Macaca mulatta: one gene and its partner. The protein of the gene in region 1 interacts with the protein of each later gene in a pairwise test. Links are inferred from orthologs where the notes say so. Each region holds a gene or a part of one and is shown in the gene's direction. Other genes may lie near its edges.

Region 1 (3,645 bases):
CACCGCCCTGCAGAGTGGCTTCCTGCCTTACTGTGAGCCCGTTTACCAGCGCTGCGTCACCCTGGTGCAGAAGACGCTGGCTCAGGCCATGGTGAGCACCCCCACGCCCATCACCTATGCTTCTGCATTGGCCTGCCTCGGGCCTGCTCTCCACTCACCCTTGCCCCGTCCCCATCTGTGTCTAGATGTACACCCAGCACCCCGAGCAGTATGAGGCTCCCGACAAGGACTTCATGATCGTAGCGCTGGATCTGCTCAGCGGCCTGGCTGAGGGCCTGGGTGGTCACGTGGAGCAGCTGGTGGCCCGCAGCAACATCATGACACTGCTGTTCCAGTGCATGCAGGTGGGTGGGGACCTGGACAGTGATGACACCCAGCAGCCTGCGTGGGCTGCCCCTGGCGGGGACTCAGGGCCTGGTTGTGCGCAAAGAAAATCAGGGAAAAGGGGCTGTTCTAATTATTTTAAACAGTGATCCGGGAGGCTGAAGCAGGAGGATGGCTTGAGCCCAGGTGTTTGAGACCAGCCTGGGCAACATAATGAGACCCCAGTTCTAAAATTTAAAATTTTTTTTTTTTTTTTTTGAGACGGAGTCTTGCTCTGTTGCCCAGGCTGGAGTGCAGTGGCCGGATCTCAGCTCACTGCAAGCTCCGCCTCCCAGGTTCACGCCATTCTCCTGCCTCAGCCTCCCGAGTTGCTGGGACTACAGGCGCCCGCCACCTCGCCCAGCTAGTTTTTTGTATTTTTTAGTAGAGACGGGGTTTCATTGTGTTAGCCAGGATGGTCTCGATCTCCTGACCTCGTGATCCGCCCGCCTCGGCCTCACAAAGTGCTGGGATTATAGGCTTGAGCCACCGCGCCCAGCCCAAAAAACTTTTTTTAAAAAAGCAAACGGTATTGAAAATAGAAAATATGAGGCCAAGCGCTCATGCCTGTAATCCAGCACTTTGGGAGACCGTGGCAGGTGAATCACTTGAGGTCAGGATTTTGAGACTAGCCTGGCCAACATGGTGAAATCCTGTCTCTACTAAACATATAAAAATTAGCCAGGCATAGTGGCAGGTGCCTCTAATCCCAGCTACTTGGGAGGCTGAGGCAGGAGAATTGCTTGAACCCAGGAAGCAGAGGTTGCAGTGAGCTGAGATCATGCCACTGTATTCAAGACTGGACAATAGAGTGAGCCTCCGTCTCTTTCAAAAAAAAAAAAAAAAGAAAACATGAAAGCCCAAGTCCCTGCCCCAGCACAGTTGGCTCTCCATATCTGTGGGTTCTACATCCCAAGATTCAAGCAACCTCAGACTGAAAATACTCAGAGGGGGCCGGGCGCGGTGGCTCACGCCTGTAATCCCAGCACTTCGGGAGGCCAAGGTGGGCGGATCACAAGGTCAGGAGATCGAGACCATGGTGAAACCCCGTCTCTACTAAAAATAGAAAAAATTAGCCGGGCGCAGTGGCGGGCGCCTGTAGTCCCAGCTACTCGGGAGGCTGAGGCAGGAGAATGGTGTGAACCCGGGAGGCGGAGCTTGCAGTGAGCCGAGATTGTGCCACTGCACTCCAGCCTGGGCGACAGAGCGAGACTCCGTCTCAAAAAAAAAATAAAAATAAAAAAGAAAATACTCAGAGGGGCCGGGCGCGGTTGCTCAAGCCTGTAATCCCAGCACTTTGGGAGGCCGAGACGGGTGGATCACGAGGTCAGGAGATCGAGGCCATCCTAGTGAACATGGTGAAACCCCGTCTCTACTAAAAAAAATACAAAAAACTAGCCAGGCGAGGTGGTGGGCGCCTGTAGTCCCAGCTGCTCAGGAGGCTGAGGCAGGAGAATGGCGTAAACCCGGGAGGCAGAGCTTGCAGTGAGCTGAGATCGGGCCACTGCACTCCAGCCTGGGCGACAGAGCGAGACTCCGTCTCAAAAAAAAAAAAAAAAAAAAAGAAAATATTCAGAGGAAAAATTACATCTGTACTGAACACATACAGACGTTTGTTCTTGTTATTATTCCCTAAACAATACAGTATAACAACTATTCCCATACTGTTGACATTGTATTAGATATAAGTGACTTAGAGATGATACTAAGTGTACAGGAGAATGTGCATAGGTGCATATGCAAACAGTATGCCCCCCGCCCGTCCCCCACCTTTTTTTTGAGACAGAGTTTCACTCTGTCACCCAGGCCCGGGTTCAAGCAGTTCTCCTGCCTCAGCCTCTCAAGAAACTGGGACTACAGGCATGTCCCACCATGCCTGGCTAACTTTCTTGTATTTTTAGTAAAGACAGGGTTTTGCCATGTTGGCCAGGCTGGTCTCAAACTCCTGACCTCAAGTGATCTGCCTTCCTTGGCCTCCCAAAGCGCTGGAGATTATAGGCATGAGCCACTGCGCCCGGCCCTAACACTATGCCACTTTATATCAAGGACTTGCACATTCGTGGATTTTGATAGCTGCAGGGACCTGGGAAAGAATCCCCCATGGACACTGAGGGATGACCGTTGGGGCACTGCCATCTCCCATTTGCAGATGTGGACTGGAGGCTAGGGAGGTTAAGGAAAACCTAGGAGCCCTAGAACTGGAAAATGGCAGAGGCTGGACATGCACCAGGGACTGTGCCCCCTCAGCTGTCGTGGTTAGGAGGAGGGGAGCCCAACCACACTGATATTTCTTGAATCCCCAGGATTCGATGCCTGAGGTCCGGCAGAGCTCCTTTGCCCTCCTGGGAGACCTCACCAAAGCCTGCTTCATCCATGTCAAGCCTTGTATTGGTACGACACTCACCTTGTCCCTAACCCATGACCCCAGCCCCGGCCTCAAGTGATGGAGAGCAATACCCAGGGATGACTGTGACATTGGGATGTATTCGTACTGTCTGATGGGGCCTGCTGGGCTAGGTCTGCAGCTTACCCCAGCTGGCCCTCCTGCTCAGCACTCCTGTTTCTCCCCACCAGCCGAGTTCATGCCCATTCTGGGCACCAACCTGAACCCAGAGTTCATCTCGGTCTGCAACAACGCCACCTGGGCCATTGGTGAAATCTGCATGCAGATGGGTGAGTGCCCTGCAAGTGGCAACAGGCCCCTCCCCATTAGCCTGTTCTCAACCTGGGGGCGGGAGCCTAGCTCTGACTGACACGGGAAGTCTCTGGGGGCTCGTCATGGGTGGAGCCAAGCAGAAAGGTCATTTGTGATTGGCTTCACCAAAGAGAAGGGATAGGAGGGCTGTTCTGATTGGACCGTTTTGTGTAGTTGGCTAAAAGACTCACTCGGATTAATTGGGTGACTTTGGCCCTCACTCGAATTGATTGGGTGACTTTGGCTTCTTTTCCTTTGACTTGGGCAGCGTATTCTCACCTTAGCGACTCCAGAGAAGTCTCTGATGTTTGAAGGGTGTGGATCTGTTCCTGGTTGACCAGGGATTCTGGGTGGGGATTAGCCGGAGAAGGTCTTTTGTTCCCTCACTGGTAGTGGTTGGCCAGTCTCTGGTTAGAACTGGGGTCAGTGAGTGACGGGGGCAGCCCCGAGCCCCCCCTGTGGGTGAAGGGGGCTGTGCAGGGCTCTGATTGGGTGCTCCCCCAGGGGCAGAGATGCAGCCTTATGTGCAGATGGTCCTCAACAACCTGGTGGAGATCATTAACCGACCCAACACACCCAAGACACTG
Region 2 (4,297 bases), on another chromosome or scaffold:
TTTATCTTTCAGCTGTGAAATTTTAAGTCTCTGAAGTAATACTACGAACAAATTAGCAATAGGATTGCAAGGTTTTTATAGTCCCGTGCTGTAGAACAAAAGGCAGTAATTTGAAAAAACTCGTCCATAACGCTGTTTTCGGTCTGCGTCAAATTTGCAATTGCATAGTTTTATTAAAGAGAACGGGAAAGAGGGCCCAGAAGTTGTTCTAGCAATCGGCAGCAATTTATCTATTTTAAATTGTAATGCATACTTTTTTTTCCTCCTACTGAAAACAATGGCAGATATGCTAAAGGGAAGGACACATTCTTGAACCACTAAGTGGTTTTTCAGATAGCCATTTACGGAGTGCACTCAAGTCCCACTATCTGGCTGAAAGCAAAGTACACACGACCTCCCCTTTTCCTTTTTCCCTTTGCAAAGCGAAACAGGCTAGACGCGTTTACGTGATGTGAATGACGTCAGCCCCCACCGGGTCGCGTGACCGACACCCAACCTTCCTACTACCTCGCCCCGGCCGCCAGAGTGGGAAATATCGCGAGAACTCGCCTTACTATCAGAACTTACTGAGGTTACAGGGGAGTTACTCAGAAGGGAAGGGAAGGTGTGGTTGAGTGGTGGAGTTTTTGCCTTCATTCTTTTAACGTTCATAGCCAAAGCAAAGGCCTTTGGGAATTGCCAGAGCCTCAGCCACCATCCTGGAAAACAGCGGGGGAGGTGGGCCTGGAGGTGGCAAGTGAAATGTGGCTCAGGGGTCGTCATTGCCCCTTGCAGAAGGGGCTGCGGGGGAGGGAGACAGCCTGCGCCGGGTTCTGGGGAGCTGGCGACGCAGTGAACCCCGCTGAGGTTGGGTTTTGCCCCAACAGTCGCTGGTGGCTGTGGGAAGGGTTGGGACCTTCTCTGAGAGCAATGAACAGCCCACATCCGGCCCCTGCTGTGTCAACTTTGAGTGGCGTGGAGATGAAGTGGTTGCTCTGCCTTGCTCGGCCACAGCGGGTGTCGTGGGCCGGCAGCCGGCCTGGAGAAGTCACTGCTGCCCAGCGCCCAAAACAGGGGCGTGGGCTACCGCGACCAAGGGCGGCAGCCCCGGGCCATCCTCGAGTTGCCCTGCATCTTCCCGCTCAGTCAGCCCCAGATTGAGGCAGGCTTCTCTGTGCGGGTTTAAATGGGTAACTGACGTCTCGCCTCATTCACCCAAACCTCCAGGCTTCTCCCCCGCAAATCCTCCTCCACCCACCTGGTTTCTCCTAGACGGGTGTGCTCGTGTGTGCGACCGAAGGAGGGATAGCGAGAGATCCACGAAGGGACACACTTGGAGTCGCTAGAGGGAGGTGTGGGACCAGCGAGGAGGGGGCTTCGCCAGGGAGGGGGTGCTGGCTGGCGGAGGGAGCGGCGGGAGGAGGCGCCAGGGGAGGAGACGGAGGCCTGGGGACGGCAGACGAGGCTTCGTCCGAGCCGAGCGCTCTTTCTCTCGCTGCGCCGTCTTGAAGCCGCGCGGGCTCGTGAGCAGCGCGAGGCAGTCAAGGTGCCTCGCTTCGCCGGATCCGCTGCTGCCCGCTGGAGGGAAGCCGGTCCCGGGCGCGCACGCTCGCCCGAGCCCCGGGCGCGCTCCGCGCCTGAGCCTGCTGACAGCTGCCGCTGGGCTCTGGCTGTCCGCTCCGGGCTCCGCGGCCTCGGCCCCGCTGCACTCCACCTCCGCCCCCTCGGACTCCCTCCCCTCTGCTTCTACCCCTCCTGCCTCCAGTGCGGATCGTTTCGCAACTGCTTGCCACTCGCCCCGTGCCCGGCTGTTTTTCCGTTTCCCGGCCCCCTCTTCTTGAATACTTTACCCCCTGTATTTGGGGACAGGGACTGGAAAAGGGGCGGGTGGAGCGTCCAGTGGAGAAGAAGGAAGCGAGGCCCGCAGGAGGAGGAGGATCGGCGGACCGTGGGGAGGAGACCCCACGCCACCGTTTCTGGTCATCTCCCCTCCCGCCCCGCCCCTGCGCACACTCCCTCGCGGGCGAGCTACTTTCGGACCAGGAAAGTAAGGGCGGCCCTGGGTGACAGCGCCGCGGGGCCAATCCCGGGGTTAGCCGCGCGTCTGCTCGCTTCTCGTCCGTCGCGCTCCCAGCCAGGGCACAGCCCGGACCAAGGATGGCTTCGACCACAACCTGCACCAGGTTCACGGACGAGTATCAGCTTTTCGAGGAGCTTGGAAAGTAAGCGCCTTTGCCCGGCATCCTCATGTCCCCTTTCCAGCTGAGGGCGGGTCGCGTTGCCCCAGACCCACCGGCCTCCGTCTTGGGGCGAGGGAGTTTGGGAGACGAGAGGAGTGGGAGGAGGGCCCCTGGTTTGTCAGCTCTGGGGAAGGTGCTGTCTTAGTAAGGGGAGGGAACACAGAAGGCGTAGGACCCTTGCCCCGGCTGTGGCTCATTTCGATAGTCCCTAGCCCACCTTCTCCCGGTCCCCCACCCTTCTGCACTGAGAGACTTAGTGAATTTACGATCTCTGCAGTTGTAGCTGTCATCCTGAGAAGTGTGCGCGCGCGCCTGTGTGTAATGTGTGTTTGGAGAGGAAATTAGAACCCATGTAAAATGCAACATAGATCATGTTTTCTGTAAATAGAGATGCCTCCTGGTTAGCCGGCGTGTCGGCCGTATGACCCATGTACTGAGGAGAACTCACAGCCTCAGACGGTGCCATATTTATTGATGCCGAAAGTTCAACTTGGCATGGAGACTATTTCGCATCCAGTAGTTGTTCTGTCCAGGAAAAGGGCCACCCAACAGAACCCAACCCCTTGCCCTATATCCACTGTTATTCTTTGCACCAGATTACCGCTCACCATCATTCTTCCTAGGATTTACGTGTGCATCTTTGCGTTCTCTGGGAGGATTTATTTATACAGGCAGCGGAAAAGCCCTCTGGAGACTGAGCGCGCTCTTAAGAGTAGCCTAGCATTGTGTAAAACCACCTCCTCTACCTAACTGGCAGAACTATTTGGAGATGCTAGGGAAGGAGGCAGGAGATCTACTGAGGACTTGTGTAAAGGGACCTAGGGGCCGAGCCGTGAATGCTGATTTTAGTAGCATTGAACCCAAACCCAATTCCTCTTTCACTAGTTTCGACTGTTACTTTTATGAAAGGGGTGCGTTTATATGTATGTTGTTGGTTTATACTGTAATTAAAGGAAAGGTAAATATTTTTGAAGGTAATAAAAATTATATATGTATATATTGTCTGGTGTTAAAACATGGAGAATATGTCGGAAGAGCAGCTTAATTCAAATCTCTCCCCTCCCCCAGCCCAAAACAAGACACAGAGAAATCACCATACCAGGATTTGTTAAACCACACTAATGTGCTCAAGATTGATATTTTAATGAAAATAATCGCCGTGTTTACTTACTTGGAACCACATTAATTTTTTGTTTCCTACCAAAGTAAGTAGGCGGCAGATTTTTTTGCTGCTCTTCCTCTGCTCTCTTCTGTGCAGGGTTTTTCTCAGAGCATTTGGTGCTGTGAGTGTGAACTGTAAAATGTTTTCAAATTTCTTGTGCAAACAAGAGCGGTCATAATTGGCAGTTCCTTTCATTTTGTTGATTAATAATGTGTGCTCCCAGTTAAATAAAATTTACTTTTATTCTTCAACATTAAAGAAAGTCTAGGTTTCCAGGAAGAATTGTTCATTTACTGGATATTACTGTACTTCACTGGCAATCCACTAAAATCAATAAAAATGCTCAGATTTTATAAATTTTTTAATGGAATGTTATATCTGTTATATTAATGACCTGCTAATTATTGGTTTCCAGGGGGGCATTCTCAGTGGTGAGAAGATGTATGAAAATTCCTACTGGACAAGAATATGCTGCCAAAATTATCAACACCAAAAAGCTTTCTGCTAGGGGTGGGTATTTTCAACCACATATATTGGTTAATTTTGTATGTGTCATGTTGATTATAGGTTCTGTTGTATGTAAATATCATGTAGTTATAACTGAATTTTAGACTTAGGTATCATATTACATACTGAGATTATTTTCTTCCTGAATGCTTCTTGGTCTGTACAGTTTAAAAATAAATGGAAAGATATAATTATTATTCGATAATTGCTATTAAAATTCTATCTGTCCTACAGGCAATAGCATGAATAACTATATTTTAAAGCAAATAAATGTCAGGTGCATTTTGCTTATAGTTTAAGTATAAAATAACTTTTAGAAAGACGATGGAATGGAAAAATATAAGTCTCACAACTGTCATAATTCCCTTTTGCTTTTGGGAGGAAAATAGGTCATAGCTCAGTTGAATCA

The links.
Region 2: the proteins of TNPO2 (region 1) and CAMK2D interact in binary tests that used the Homo sapiens proteins (3 or more experiments, as listed by UniProt). The two-hybrid records come from large-scale screens. The link is inferred for Macaca mulatta from reciprocal best matches to the Homo sapiens genes TNPO2 and CAMK2D.

What each region holds. Positions count from the first base shown.
Region 1 is NC_133424.1:13,255,607-13,259,251, reverse strand, and holds part of TNPO2 (transportin-2), read left to right. Parts: coding exon 1-91; intron 92-185; coding exon 186-344; intron 345-2,666; coding exon 2,667-2,754; exon of another isoform or gene 2,755-2,869; intron 2,870-2,880; exon of another isoform or gene 2,881-2,937; coding exon 2,938-3,036; exon of another isoform or gene 3,037-3,079; intron 3,080-3,501; exon of another isoform or gene 3,502-3,562; coding exon 3,563-3,645. UniProt on the Homo sapiens protein: Probably functions in nuclear protein import as nuclear transport receptor. Serves as receptor for nuclear localization signals (NLS) in cargo substrates.
Region 2 is NC_133410.1:123,024,668-123,028,964, reverse strand, and holds the start of CAMK2D (calcium/calmodulin-dependent protein kinase type II subunit delta), read left to right. Parts: upstream 1-1,436; 5' UTR 1,437-2,136; coding exon 2,137-2,201; intron 2,202-3,796; coding exon 3,797-3,891; intron 3,892-4,297. UniProt on the Homo sapiens protein: Calcium/calmodulin-dependent protein kinase involved in the regulation of Ca(2+) homeostatis and excitation-contraction coupling (ECC) in heart by targeting ion channels, transporters and accessory proteins involved in Ca(2+) influx into the myocyte, Ca(2+) release from the sarcoplasmic reticulum (SR), SR Ca(2+) uptake and Na(+) and K(+) channel transport.